Caenorhabditis elegans: one gene and its partner. The protein of the gene in region 1 interacts with the protein of each later gene in a pairwise test. Each region holds a gene or a part of one and is shown on either strand. Other genes may lie near its edges.

Region 1 (7,809 bases):
ACGTGTTTTAACATTCGGTAACGGAGATCAAGAACTGGGGCGAGTGGTGGTGGAAGATTACAAGGAGGATACGGACTTCAAAAGACGAGAAAGGCGGGGATTTTCATTTGGTTCCGGAACATTTGGTACCCATACAACAGATTGAGAAGAAAAAAGGTAGATACTATGATGGTGGGAGAGCATTTTTGAGGTAGTGGACCAAATCTAGCTGGTAGTCGGTGGAGCTGGATGGAGGTTGAACACCAGCTGACGTGGTCCATCGATCACTGATCGGACAGGCAGTTGAGCAAGGAACTCGGTGAGGAATTCACCTGAAAATGGAAAATTTGGTAAGGAAAAGCTCTAATTTAAAAGTCAACTTACCACTGTCATCATTGCACTTGATCAAAAAGCTCTGCGTTGGGAACGCCTTCTCTCCGATGTTCTTTCCAAATCCTTCTGGAATTGATCCTGAGGGAGAAATGCTTCCACTCTAAAAAAAAGTATGGTTGCTAAAATCATAAGATATGTCAACATACCGTATGAGAGTTTCTCTCATGATTTCCAGTTGCCTTCTCTTCTTCAATTTCTTTCTTTGTTCCATCATTCTTGAACGTAAGATTGAGAGCGGCTGCCGTTGAATCTCCGTCATATTGATTCTGATTCTGAACCACCATTTGAAGAGCTGCTTCAGTTGTCAGCTGCAGAGCAACATCCTCATCTTCATCGCCTCTTCCCTTCGCTTCACTCATTTTGATATGCCTCTCCATGTGCAAGTCAAGATTCTTTGGATCACGAGTCTTGTAACTACAGTCAGTACATTCGAGAAGATTTGAGCTCATCTTTTCCTCAGTTGATTGATTTCGTTGTCCGAGAATCGCCATCATTTGATTCAAATCTCCATTCGCTGCAGCAGCTCCAAAATGATCTTGAGCCATGTGCAACATCATCATTGATGGAGAAACTCTTTTATCGCACAATGCACATTTTTCTTCAGACATTGAGGCGGAATTCGGACCAGAGTTATTATTGGCTCCGTTTGGTGTTGTTGGAACAGATGATTTGTTTGGATTGTTACGTGGAGTTGACAATGGCAAGACTCCATGCACATCCTGACGATGTTGCCTGAGCTGATTACGAGTTTTGAACATAGTTCGGCAAGTGTCACATCGGAAAGTAAGCTCTCCTTCTCGCTCCTTGATGCTTGTGTCGATATTTGCAATAACTGTCTTGTTCTCATCAATCACAATTCCGTGCATTTTGAGCATATGTGTACGGAGGAAGTACTTGTTGCAAACTTCCTTGTTGCAAATATCACAGAAGTTTTTGTTGTTGGAAGAGTATTGACGTTTGACTCCACTTCCCTTGTTTGGCTGAAAATTTTGCATTTTAAAAAGGAAATTTCAATGTACCGATTGAAAAGAAACTGAAACTCACTGTGGACAAAGCTGACAATGGCTCAAAGTCTTGCATTCCAGCAAATTGTTGGTGGAGAGGAGACTGGAACATCAGTGGAATACCAGCTAATCCTTGTGGAAAGAGACCACTGAACATCATAGATTCATCTTTCATCTGCTTCTGATTCTGCTGATGAAGCGGGTTTGAAAGACCCATTTGAGCGAGAAGTGATTGCATGAGTTGATTATTTGAAGTTGGTGTCAATGGAGTTTCATCTCCAGTCCTCTGTTTCTTGGCTGATGGTTGCTGAGTGACATCATCATCATCTGTATTTGATTGAGAATTCGAATGCCCATTGACGATTACTGTAGATGGAGCTGAGTCAACTGAAGATGTCGTGCTAGCAGCACTACATTCCGTAGCTGTTGAGGTGGTCGGAAATACCATGGATGCCAGTGTTGAGTTCAGAGAAACAGCTGGTGGTGGGCTTGGAGAGGATTCTCGTTGTTCTTCTGGCTCCTGATCAACCTGAAATTGGCTTATTTCTTCAAGTGGCAAATTCAAATGGGGAATTTAAAAATTACAACTATTTTCGAATTTTGATAACGATAACAAGCGAAATCCAGCATTATCTGTCAAGATCCGTTTAGGAATAATTTAATAAATAGATTGGCTTCCACCTCTACTATTTATAGCTTTTTGAAAAGATGGGATCCAAAATAAAGAAAAAAACGTTGGATAATAAACGAAATAGAGAATTCTAAAATTGGTGCCCACTCAAATCTGCAAATACTCTCTCAAGTCTAAATCTTGGTACAAGATTTGAAAAATCTAGGTGCTAATCTGTTTGCATGAAGTCTGGCTGACAACTTACCGATTTAGCTTGTTGAGCAAATTGTGTTGCGAACTTCATCAAATCTGCATTTCCACTCATCAGCAGCTCGATAATATTCTTCTCGGCTCCGGAGTTGTTGTGTCCAGCGTCGGCGATGTTCGAGTCAGCCTGATTGCTCTGTTGCTGGAGAATCATCGACATCAATTGATTGTTGGCAAGGCCGTTTTGAATAAGTTGGCTCGGCATGAACATATCCTTCTCATCGGTCTCTGCCATGATGGAAGATGATGATGGAGCTCCGGAAGATGAAGTTGGGCTCGCAGATCCTCCAGAAGTAGCCATGACACAAGCACCTCCTTTATTCATCATATTGAATTGGTTGGCGCTTGACTGAAAAACAAAAACATGAAATATGAAAAATATGCAGACTATTTGCACTCGAAAATTTACAAATGTTGAAAATATTATAAAGACGAAAGATCGTGGGAGCTTAAAAGAAGCAATCTTGAATTGAAATTGTGTGTTTGGTTATCAAAGTAAAGTGGTTTCAATATAAAGGGATTAGGTATGCCAAACTGAGGTGAATTGAGAAAAATTTGAGAAAAATTGAGGCAAAAAACTCAAACTTCCACATGACTTTTTTCCCACACCCCGCTCATAGTCCGAAATTAGATTGAATATGTTGCCAAAAATTTCGATCAAAAAATTAGGAAAAAAAGTGCTCCATTTCCAAATGGGAAAAAGATGAAGAAAATCTACTGGAAGTTTTTAATATATTTTTTTTTTGGATTTATACATATTTTGAAATTTAATTCTGCGAAGGTGGAGGGATCATCCGTCTTGGAACAAGAGCAATGTTCTGTGCTCTTTTACGTTAAAGTTTACATGTAGGGAGAAGACAACTAGATCCATCAAAAAGTGTTATTTGACAAAAGATTTCAGATATGAAAAAGAAAAGAAGGAGTAAGGGGTCATTTGAAAGACAATAGAATTATGGATTAGATTGGAAGGAGGAGTACTGTAGTGAAGGGAGAAGGGATAGACTATTGTCTAATGAGGTGAGATTTCACACGAGATTACAAGCATCGTAGAAAAATAAGGGGGTAATTTGGACCATGCTCATTGAAATGTCAATTGACCAATTTTCAAAATCTCGAATTATCTAAGAAAAGTTTGCCAAATTTCTAATGGAACTAAATATTTGGGGAACCGATTTCTAGATCTAAAAGACTAGGTATCTTATCAGTAGTTATATTTGAAACACAGTTTATCAGTTCCAAAAACTATTGCGCAGTACCTAGGACCTTCTCAACTATCATAAAACTATATCGAAAGAGAACAGGGGAAAAAATGAAGAACAATTGATGGGACCGTCTGTCGGTCAACTGACCCGTTCCATGTCTCTTCAACAATAAATTCAATGCAACGTCGCGGGGAGAACGGGGGGGGGGGCAAATAAAATTAAAAACGGGGGAAGAGACTCAGACACGAAAAAACCAAAAAGGGAGAATATGAGTGGTCCCGTTGCGGGAGACCCTCCTCCCGTCTCTGTGTGTCTAATGCGAGATAGACGTAAAAAACGAAGGAGAAGAAGAGGAGACAACCCTGTATTTAGAGTGGACTTATAACTTCTAGAGAGTACACGTTTCGAGGAGACACAGAATGGGAAAAGGGTGGGGCTTCCCGGGAGGGATGTCTGAATGGTCCCTCCGAACGCGTCAAAAGGCTAACTAAACAAAAATTGAGTGGACAAAGAGTAAAGAAAAGGGGTCAAATGAACGAAGATTTGATCTAGTTTCTTGTTTGAACCTTTTTTGAAATACCTTAACTTCAAATTTTCTTAAAATAACTTTCAAACTCTCAAGAACAACAAAATCGAAACTACACGCATTATTGTATGAACACGAAATCGCCTTAACTTTTTTAGTCAAGAGAAATATGGATCTCCGAGCTTTTCTTGGTACTTATAATCGTGTTAGCACTTTTGAATCTATTAGATAAATTGAAAAACACTGAAAACTTTCTTCAAAATCTCGGAATTCTCAAAAACCCAAACAAGTAGGCGGAGCATATTCAAATTTCACCCGAAAAGAGGCTCCAGGCAGTGTCTCCTAGTGTCTCACTTTAATCGAGTAATCGTTTCCTGCGATTTTCGTTTCAAATATCCATCGGCAAGAAAAGGGACCTTGTCACATAGACAACCTTCCGTATTTTTACTAAAATTTTCCACTCTTTTCTATTTTCAATTGAAAAGGAGACGGAAAGAGCTCAGAAGCCGGGTAGAGGGAGATACTTCTCCAGCACCACAAGATTATTCAACTTTTATGAAACCGTGATGAATTATTCGCAAGGCGTGTGTGAACTCGAAGGAGCTCACCGGGAGGAAATTTAATGAATAAAGTCAATCTAGAATAGTCATGCTTGAATCTTGAATTCAAGTTCATTTCTACAAAGTTTCAGTTCCAAGTGATTCATTCAAAGCACATGAGAACTCCAACTAGTGCTTGAAAAGAAACTTCCAAGGAACGGAGATACAAAAATGTCAAAATCCAAGGCCAATCCTAAAATTCCATCAAAAAAACAATGTGAACCTTATCTATGGAAATTCATCAACGCCCTTGACCACCACTACATCATATTTATTTCGGATGGTCCAAACTCTTCTTTCTTCCCACACAACACTTTTACGATCAATTAACCCTTCACATCTGACATTGGAATCTGTTTCATATTTGCGCAACGGGCTAGATGGTTTTTCCCAAATTCCAAATTTACTAGAATTTGAGCAGATGTTCATCTTCGTCATTTGAATATGGGAATTCAAAGATTTGTTGGCTCATTGCCAAGTGGATTAGCGGTGGAGTGACAAAGGGAAGTGGTAAATCAATATTGGTTAGATACAGTAGTACGCACAATTTTTGAAAATTAAAAATTAAACATCTTAAAGGTTAATAATAAATTAATGGTGAGCCCAACACAAAAACAAACAGTTTCAAAAATTTTATAATATTCATTTTTGACATATCCTTTTGATCTGAGACTGAGTGATAAAATAGTATTGACAAAAATAGAGACCCCAAAGGTAGATCAAAAAAAATTTCTAGAACCAAAATATGTTCCCAAAATGGAACTTTACACAATATCTACTAGAACATAGTGGGATAACAAATAGAAAATTTCAGATCGAGTCTTGTGATTTTATCTAAATTTAGATTTGGCTAAAGGGGCAATAAGCTGATTATTTTGCATAAATAGTAGACAACGGGATGGATTATCGTAAATTCTTCTTTTTTAAGAATTCAAATCGCATGTTAGACAAATTCTTTTAATTTCTAAAGAAAAACTGAAAAAAATACTAGAAAAATTATAGACACAAATCAGAAGCTTAAAGAGGGCCAAGTCTTAGAAGTTTGAAAATATAAGTGGCGATAGAAAATATTTTAAAATAAATAAGATAATATTCAAAAATATATATAACAAATTTTTGGAGCTAGGTAATATCAAAGCCGAAAAACTTGAAAAAAGTAGACCTACAAATGGCTACTGTATTGTTCAAAATGACCAAAGTCTTGGCAATACAGGCTCAAAATGTATATAAGCAGGCTTAAAAACATTCAAAACTATGGCCCCCAAAAATTTGCAAAAATTTTTTAAACCAAAAGGTAGAAATTTGCAAACTTTTTCCGCTTCTAATTTTAGAAGTTGACTAAAAATGGCTCCTCTAGTGCAAATTCATAAAATCCAAGTTTCTTACCGGATCCATCGACATAAGCAACTGCTGCATATCGACCGCGTTGGCCATCATGTCCGAATGAAGATTCTCAACGATTTGTGAACAATTCCCAAAAGTCGAATCAACTGGCGTTTTCTGAAAAACAAGAAAAATTTAATAGATACTTTGAAATCTTCTCAGGTTTTAAATATGATAATATATACGAATTGTTGATGAAAAAAGTAAAAAATAAACCAAGTGTCTATGAGAATTCCCAAAAGAAGAAGGATGGATAGATGAACACAATTGTAGTTTCATTTAATTTTTTTTTCGAAATACTAAGAAAGAACCGAAAAACACAAAACACAGGTATTGCAGAAATCGAGCGCTTGTTTTCCAGTTTCCAGCGGCCGAAAAATATATAGGACTGAAAAAAAAGGCGAAATACTGAAAAAAAATAAAACTTGGTGCCTAAAGCTTTAACTAACTGATTTTCGAAATCTCAATAACATGTGCATATTGGTGGGGGGCAGCGCCTACTTGCACATAAATATAATATATATTAATTTCAATTCCAACCTCTTTCTCCCCCTTCTCTTGGCTGGCCCCTAATCGCGTTTGGCCGACTGCCAACACCTTTGGCTTTTCAATTTATATTTCCGCCAGTGATTTCGAAATTAAATCAAACGAAATTTTTTCTGCGTCGAGGTCTGGTCTGAGCTTTCGGCGGGAGAAGCAGGAAAAAGTGGAAAATTTCCATATTTTTCGATTTCAATTTCAATTTCAATTTCAATTTCAGCACACTGGTGCATGGCGGGCGAGTGAAATTGGCAGGTGTATATAACAATTCACAAGATTCTTTTTTTAATATTTCAACGAATTGAATGTCTGGGGAATATCAAAAATAGGGTAAACAACTATTAATGTGAAGCTTTCAAAATGAAAATTTGAAATTCTATAATTATATGACACTGATATGAAATCAGAGTCATTTTCTTAAAACGAACTAATTCAAAAATTATCATTTACGTTTAATCTCTCACAATATATGAAAATCTTCACCTGCCTCCTAAAATAATATATTTTTAAGTTTCAAGGTTCAGAAAGTTGTCTGGGGCTTTGAAATCGTTATGAAAGCTAATTGAAATCTAGAAGTTTCGACTTCAAGGTTTTGACATAATAAAAAAGAGAGAGAAACATGAAAACGAGTTTAAATTAGGTCAGAAATGTTGAAATTCGGCAGGAAAAAGTGATACATAAGGGAAGTTGCCTGCAGTTTCAGGTTGAAGATTTATAATAGATCAAAAAAAAGTTGGCGGTTGGGTAGTTTTTGGAGAACCCAAAAAAACATGCAAGTCTAAGTAGTGTAGTCGGGTAATTTGTAAAATTACCCGACTACACTACTAGTCTAGAATTACAAGGATTTTTTCTAAGTTGTTGGTGGATCTCTAAAAAAGTATTTCATGAAGTAAGACATAATGATGCCTGCCAGTGTGCCTTGCAGGCGTAAAGTCAGGTATGCTTGCAGGTATGAAAACTTTGTTGGTTTTTGGGTACCCCGCTTTCAGAGTATTCAGCTCAAAATCTGCAACTCCGACCCTAAAAAGGAAGTAAATCAGGAAAAGTATCTTAACATCAATGTTCCACATCCGGGGCAAAAAAGTGAAGTGGTGTTGAAAACTGGTTGTCATGCGGTCTATCGGAGCAATTCGATTCGATTTCAAGCCCCACCCTTAACGAATTCAAGTCTCTCACTTATTTCTCCACTAATTCGAAAAGTAATTCAAATCAAGTGACACCGCGGGGCTATGAGTGAGTCTGACATGAAATTCGTATTTCGCCTTGCACACATAAAAAAATTTAGTGTTGGCGGGTGGCGGCGGGT
Region 2 (7,978 bases), on another chromosome or scaffold:
AATGGAACGTTTTGCACGAGAGAAGGGCAATTTTCATAAAACAGAAGAAAATCACATGAATAGATGACGACGCTAAGTCTTAAGAACATTCAGAAAAAGGAGAGAAAAACGGTTTAAGAATAAGTTAAATATGAACGAGAGAGGGGGAAATTAAGGGAAAAAGAAAGCGAAATAGTTATTTAATTTAGAAATTATAAAACCACATCCGTTCGATAGTTTTAGAAAAAAAACTCAACACCCTCTAATTTTGGAATTAAAGATGTATACTTCTTCAAATATAATCTGAACTTTGAACATCACTGAAATTGAAATATCAAAAAAAGTGAGCAAAATCAAGACTATAAGAGAAGAAGCATATTTGGTACAAACCGTCAATTTTTTGGAAGTTACAAGTTAGGGATACTAATCGATAATAGTGGGGGTGGGGGTGGCGATTGTGGAAATAAAAATAATCAAAGCGATGGGAATATGATTACAGGAAAATGGAGAATGACCGTGATGGAAAAGCACGTGGATTTTCAGATTTTCTCGAAACTTCGTCTGAATTTTGCAAAAAGGAAATTTTTAAAAAGTGTAGGAGAAAGAGAGGGAGAGAGATGCCGAGAAATCATATTTGAATACAAAAAATCATACAAAAACAACCCGGATTTCAATCAGAAACAAGTTTTGTTATGTTGTCGGTAGTGGATAGAGGAAAAGAAAAAACGGTTTAAGAATAAGTTAAATATGAACGAGAGAGGGGGAAATTAAGGGAAAAAGAAAGCGAAATAGTTATTTAATTTAGAAATTATAAAACCACATCCGTTCGATAGTTTTAGAAAAAAAACTCAACACCCTCTAATTTTGGAATTAAAGATGTATACTTCTTCAAATATAATCTGAACTTTGAACATCACTGAAATTGAAATATCAAAAAAAGTGAGCAAAATCAAGACTATAAGAGAAGAAGCATATTTGGTACAAACCGTCAATTTTTTGGAAGTTACAAGTTAGGGATACTAATCGATAATAGTGGGGGTGGGGGTGGCGATTGTGGAAATAAAAATAATCAAAGCGATGGGAATATGATTACAGGAAAATGGAGAATGACCGTGATGGAAAAGCACGTGGATTTTCAGATTTTCTCGAAACTTCGTCTGAATTTTGCAAAAAGGAAATTTTTAAAAAGTGTAGGAGAAAGAGAGGGAGAGAGATGCCGAGAAATCATATTTGAATACAAAAAATCATACAAAAACAACCCGGATTTCAATCAGAAACAAGTTTTGTTATGTTGTCGGTAGTGGATAGAGGAAAAGTAGAAATAAAATATCAATTGAAGAAACCGAAAAAAGTTTGAAATTTTCACTTCCTCGTTTGACGTTTGACAACTTCGATCAGCGCTTTCTGTTGTTCAGGTGTCAGTTTTTGAAGTTGTTGGAGAGCTTGAACATTCACTTGACCATTACTCATGAGAGCTTCTGAAATGTTTAAAACTTATTTCTTTTCGATCAATTTTGTAGATTGAAATGTTAATATTCCAACCAGAAAACAATGGAAAATCACAATTTTTTCTTTCTAATCTCGTAATAAACAATTTTTAATGTTCTAAATCTTTCACAAAATCGCCCAAAAAACACTTACGAATTAGCATTGATTGTTGATTCGCCTCTCTATTTGCCTGTGCCTGGGCTTGAGCCTGTGCGGCCTGAGCTTGTGCAGCCTGAGCTTTTGCCGCCTGAGCTCGTGCGACTTGAGCCTGAGCAGCTTGCATTGCTTGTGCTTGGAATAGCATGGCCATTTGATTATTTGCCATATTTGCCGCCCCTCCTCCCATAGCTAAAGCTTGGTACATTTGCAACTGGAAAAGGATTTATTTTTTGAAATTTCAAAAAAAAGTGATACCATTTGTTGCATTTGAGGATTATTTCTCAACATTGCTGTACTGAATAATTGATTCATTCCTTGCATACTTTGTTGTTGCAATTGTGCTGCAGTCTTCTTTGCACTTGAACTTGATGATTTTGGTGTCGAGTGTATCTGAAAATTCAAAATTAATTGTTTTTTCCTAACTTTTGATATTACTTAAAATGTCTAGAAATACTAATTTTTTAAAGTAACATCAAGCTTCTTCAATGCCTATTTTCTTCTGTTTGCATGAAAAAATTATACACGAATTTAGAAAATTGCGAAATGTTATAAATTTTTAATAAAAAGCTCATAAAATATATGTCTTTTTGGAAATGTTGTATTTTGAACTTTTTTAACTGTAAAAAATATTTTCCCAGGTATATTCCTCAATTTTGAATTATTTGGTTTGAAAATAAAAATCTAACCGGTGTTGACGTCTTGACTGCTTGTGTTGGTGTACTTGATCCAGTTGATGATGGAATTTGTGGTAATCGTGGTACAAGTGGAATTGATGAAACAGTTGCTGTTGATGATGTTGGTATTGTTTCTGAATTTAATTTTATTCGCATCGGGGAATTTGAATTTTTTTAAAAAGTTTTTAACAGCAATACAACGATTTTTAAAAATACGTGTGTATTAGTCCCAACTTTTTGGAATTAAACTGTTCAACTATTAATGTGACAATGACTTTAGGCGTCGATCGTCGTCTAAAAAATTTCGATTTTTTAGAGTTTTTCAGAGAAAATTTTAAAAACCGAAAAACAGAAATATTGCGTTTTTGAAAGTCGAAAAATCGGGAAAAAATGACGAAATTTTTTTGAAAGAAGAAAAAACTATAGATTAGCAAAATATTTGTAAAAAAAGGAAAATATTTGTATTAAAATTTTTCAAATTGAAGAATTGTCGGAAAAAATTTGTTTGGAAATTTTATTTAAAATTATATAATTGGTTTTTTTTTAAATTATGATATACAAAAACCCTATTTTTTGTAGTTAGTGCAAAGATCTATAGTTTTCAAAACTAATTCTTTTCATAATTTTAATATGATTTAGATCATTTTAGTTTTTTTTTCAGATAGCGGACACAATTTTTATACTTTTATATTACTATTTTAACTTTCAAATAATAAAACTAACGAGATGTAGCAGGTGCTGCAGCTTTTGCTTCTGCGTACTGCTCCAATTGTCCTTCGGCAATTTTCTTTTCGAACTCCTGTAATAACTTTTAATTCGTTTAATAATCAGTTAAATTTCGAAATAAATACCTTTTCTTGTGCCGTAATCTTCTGGAAAGCTCTCTTCAATAAAGCTGTCTGATCTGTTCGATTTTTCCTTTTTTGTGCTGATCGTACACAATTTTCACAATAAAGATGAAGATCATCTTGTGTACTTCCAATAGCTTTCCAAGTGTGAGCACATTCGGTTTTACATTCTTCACATTCGTATGATGGTCCGGCATATGGTCTGAATATAATTTTTTTTTTAATGAAAACATTTCAATTTTGAACATTAAAACTTTCGAGGTTTTTAGTTTCTAATGCAATTATCAAACATTTTTTGAGAAATTAAAGTCCGGTCTGATTTTTTTTCGTTTACAGGAAACCGAAAACTCTATAAATGTTCGTGTTTCGATTTTCAGTTTGGCTCAAAAACCTAAAACTCAACAATTTTTGAAATTTTGACTGTTTGTATGAAATGTGATACGAGCCGGAACAGAAAAAGTAATTCCGGAAATGATTCTGAAATATTCAGTTTTTCTGAAACCGTAAAGCGTTCGTTTTTCGCTTTTGATCAAAACCAAAAATCTAAAAATTTTCAAACGTTGGTAATTTTTCCTGTTTTATAAAAAAGTAAATCAAAATAAACAAATTGTTGAAATTGTCTGTTAATTTTCTCAACAATTTTTCCGAATATTTCTGAAAAAGTCTCCACATTTTTTCGACGACACCCGTGATCACAATGTGTTTTAACAAATCATAGTTTGAAAAAAAACTCACGTCTCATTAGATCTATCTTTGAGAACATGCTGAACCACTAGATCCAATCCATGCAATGCCAGGAATGCAGAAGCATTCGGATTCGGTAGGAAAGTGATATCATGAGGTTGACTTTTTTGTGTTGGAATTGTTGTCAATTGCTTATCAGCTTGAGCTCTGAAAGCCAGCCGAGCTGCTTGTATCCTTTGTGCAGGTGTCTGTTGATTTAGAAGTTTTGATTGTGTGATTTGAGCCTGTTGTGGTTGCTGTGCTTGTTGAGATTGTTGTACTGCAGGTGATGCAGATGCAGAAGCATTTGTTTCAGCAGCAGAAAGCTCTTTTTGCTTTTGAAGATTTTGATTATTGATTGTAATCAGTTGTTGGAATAGTTGAGTCGTTTGTGCTGGATTCTTCTTTGCCATAATGTATGCTTGTTTGGCAGCTGGTGATTGAGATGATAGTTTTTGAAGTAATTCGAGTTGTTGTGGAATTGAAAGATTCTTAAGTCCATTCATTGTTTTGTTATTTGACTCAATCATCGAATTCTTTCCATTAGTAACAGATTTTCCATTTGTAGCAACCGCTGGTTTATATGCTGCAGATGTCGCTTCAGCAAGATCAGCAGCTTTAGTTTCGGCGGCCAGCTGGAAAAAATATTAATACAAAAAAGTTTTGATCATTTATTTTTATTTCATACAGATTTCAGTTTCACAAAGAGTTTCCTTCACTTTTGTCGGTTTTTTTGAAAATGTGTGTTTTTTGAATGAAACATTTTATCAGCATAAAACTTGAAGCATTTCCTATTCTCAGATCATAACTCGCCGAAAATTTAACTACAATTCTCTCAGGGCAAAAATCCGGAATTTTTGCGAGTTTTATGATGAAAATTTTTTTAAACTATTTGTGAAGTTACACTTTTATCTAAAATTGGCGTTTTTATTTCTCGAATAGTGAAGAAAACGAACCTTGGTGATAGCTCTTGTCTGACTATCCTTCATTTTTCTCAAAACTAGCAATTTTGCCTCTTCTTCTCGTAACTGATTTTCAGCTTCTCTTCTCATATTTAAACGTTCTCTTAATTGTTCCTCATCCGGTTCCTTATTCTTCATTTTTTCATAATGATACCTCACAACTTCCATTTCACTTTCATGAATTGAAGAATTTTCACTCTCATCAGTCATTGCGTATACTTCACCTTCATTATTCGCACGAAGTCCAAATCGGAAACATGTTTGATCAAACTCTTTTCCATTTTCGAGTCTTCTTTTTTTTGGAGCTGATTGCTCATTAATTTCATCTCCCAACTCTTCATCTTCCATATCATCATCATCATTCGCCCGTTTTTGTGGTCCTTGTACAATATCATCTTTCAGTTTAATCTTTTCCTGAGCCTTCAGAGCACTTGCTCGTGTACTCCGCCGCCGTAGATCACTCGGTGAAAGTTGTAAATCATCGGTATCGATTGATGTTGAAGCTCCATTCAAATCTTTTGTAGGTGTTCCATGAAATAGAACAGCTCCATTTTGAATATGTGCAAGTGCAGCGACGGCTGTTGAAGCTGATTCTTCGATACTCAAACCATTTCCATTCTTTTCAGGAATCCCATTCATAGGTGACGATGGAACTTGTTGAACCTTTAAAAACATTGGGTTTAAAAAGTTATTCGAATTTTTTCAATTAAGATTCTAATTTTCAACTAAATTTGAGGTAGCAAAAATTTTAAAATTACACTAAAACTGTCCAAAAATAGACTGAAAATGCTTATTTTCTCATTTATTAGGGTAAACCTTCAGTCTTCTCCAAAATTTGTTATTTTTTGTGAACTGAATTCGGAATTCAGTAAGTTTTAATTTTAGTATTTAGATTGATCGAACTCGCTACCCCATTTTTAATGAAAATTACTTGACATAATAAATATTAAATTTGAATATTCCAAACACGAAATATTTTTTGAGTTCGTTTAATATAACTGTAAATAGAAACACCTACCTGTGCCATATTTATTGTATATAAATACTAAATAAATGGAATCCAGTCAAAACTCAAGTGGAGCGGAGCAAAATAAAAATCGATTAACACCGTTCGTCGAGAGCTTGCATTGGAGTCCAAGAGAACAACAGCAATCAGTTAGTGTTGAGTTTGTTCTGGAATAAAAGTTGAAATTATAATGTCACCGGCACTTATAGTGTAGTGTAAGAAAGAGACGCAGATTAGTAAAACAAAAGATTTGAATATCCAAAACGAGGTGGTGTCCGTGTGACGTCACATCATTTCACCCAATATAAAAGCAATAAGAGAGAGAAGAGAGCGCAGAGAAAATGGGGAATGATGATAGAAAGAAGATACGCAGATAGTGAGAGAAAAAAGCAAAATGTTATTAGGGAAAAAAAGGGAAGGAGGTTGAGATGATCATGGGAAAAATTAAGTTTTTTTTTCTTTTGAAATGTTTGATGAACGTGATCATCTACAACTCATCAAAAGCCACCTACTTTCTACTTTCTACTTTACTTTACCACACTACTTTCGTGTCAATTTTTCCAAGAGTTATTCATATTTCCCGTGGTGGAGAGTTGAACTCTTTTTCTAGTTTTGCTAGTTTTGCTTAGGCCGTACTGGAAAGATTCGCGAAACTCCATACAAAACAATTTAAGATTAGAGCAATTTTGAGATACTGATATTTGGAAATATTCACAGGTTTCTGGGTTCTTTGTGGTCAGAATCTACTAAAGAACAAATCTTTATTCAAAAATCGTTTAGTGAAGCAGAGGTCAACAAGAAACGACACAAACAGTGTTTTTTTTTCGAAAAAAAATTTAAAAAAATTTCTACACTTCTGCGACTTTAAAGGAGAGCGCATTTTTGTGAAATGGTCTCGCCACGCTAGAGCGCGTGGCGGGACCATTTCGAATAAATGGTCACCCCCTTTAAAGTCACAGTATTGGAAAAGAATGTTTTTTGTGTGCAATGCAGATGGTAATATCGTAGAATTTTTATAGTTAAAGAAAAATACAATGTGGCGAATTTTGTGAAAATACCAATTTCGAAACTATGAGGTTTAACTAATTTTGTACTGCAGGCTAGAGAAACAATACAAAATTATTGGTTCAAGGATCATAATTAGGTTGGAGATACGCAACTAGGTGAAGTCTCCGTAAATTTAACCTAGGATAGTCTGGAATTCATGAAACGGTAATCCACCAAAAACCATGTTAGCGAAAATTCAGTCCTGAAAGTAATATATTTGGAATAGATTTGGAAGAGCTGTGGACTTCTTTTCTCTTACAAAATGTTCTAGAACACACTAAAATGGTGGTGTCTTGCACCGACAAGTACGGTGGTAGTACTTGGCACATTCACAAATACAAACATTAAGCGCGTGAGAAACAAATTGAGATGACGGCGACGATGATGCTGATGAAGACTAGGATGAAGATTGAAAACCACTAGGAGCGGCTGAGGGTGCGTGGACGGACGGGGACGGACGGACGAAGAAGATGAAGGAAGGCGGAGGAGGACACATAAGTCAATCGATTATTTCTTGTTTCGCTTCATTCTACTCGAACAATGACACTCGGCCACACACACACACACACACCCTCACACACACAAAACGCACACACTCACTCTCTCCCTACTTTCTCTCTCTCTTTCCATCTCACACGGCCCGAACCTGACCCCAACTGGGATTCAATATAGGTGGTGCCAAGACGGCAGCAGCTGTCCAACTGAATATGCTCAAACGTCTAATCATCATGTCCTACTTGCTCTGCCAACATCGCAACCACTCTCCCCACGTCGGGAGCTGAATCTAAATTCGGTGTTGATTGAACACTTCTAGGTTCGAAACTCTATGTTTCGCGTTCAGAAAGACTAAAAATCTAACAAAACAGTGTTCCTACATATACAGTCTCTAACAAAACTTTTAGTTTCCAAAAAATAGAGCTAGGTGCGATGACTACTACTGATTATCGGATCATCGGAAGGTAAATTTCTAAACCAGGACACCGCTACTTTGAGATCATCACAACCGAAATTGTCTTCTAAAAAGAATAGAATAACCTCAAAATTACGCTAGGATCTATGCGTCCATCTAGAGTTGATGGCAACCTATCAGTA

What was found. The genes of interacting proteins can lie anywhere in the genome.
Region 2: the proteins of die-1 (region 1) and dcp-66 interact in a two-hybrid assay, tested with the Caenorhabditis elegans proteins (one large-scale study listed by BioGRID).

What each region holds. Positions count from the first base shown.
Region 1 is NC_003280.10:10,061,901-10,069,709, forward strand, and holds the start of die-1 (C2H2-type domain-containing protein), read right to left. Parts: upstream 6,018-7,809; coding exon 5,967-6,017; intron 5,267-5,966; exon of another isoform or gene 5,246-5,266; intron 4,084-5,245; exon of another isoform or gene 3,931-4,083; intron 2,603-3,930; coding exon 2,252-2,602; intron 1,906-2,251; coding exon 1,417-1,905; intron 1,353-1,416; coding exon 519-1,352; intron 473-518; coding exon 364-472; intron 312-363; coding exon 205-311; 3' UTR 1-204.
Region 2 is NC_003279.8:7,536,152-7,544,129, forward strand, and holds the start of dcp-66 (Transcription factor dcp-66), read right to left. Parts: upstream 6,009-7,978; 5' UTR 5,861-6,008; coding exon 5,852-5,860; intron 5,497-5,851; coding exon 4,828-5,496; intron 4,507-4,827; coding exon 3,884-4,506; intron 3,351-3,883; coding exon 3,152-3,350; intron 3,109-3,151; coding exon 3,024-3,108; intron 2,435-3,023; coding exon 2,313-2,434; intron 2,017-2,312; coding exon 1,882-2,016; intron 1,838-1,881; coding exon 1,621-1,837; intron 1,458-1,620; coding exon 1,342-1,457; 3' UTR 1-1,341. UniProt on the Caenorhabditis elegans protein: Transcription factor which binds to the 5'-CCATACATTA-3' motif found in the promoter region of pgp-12 and activates its expression in the excretory cell.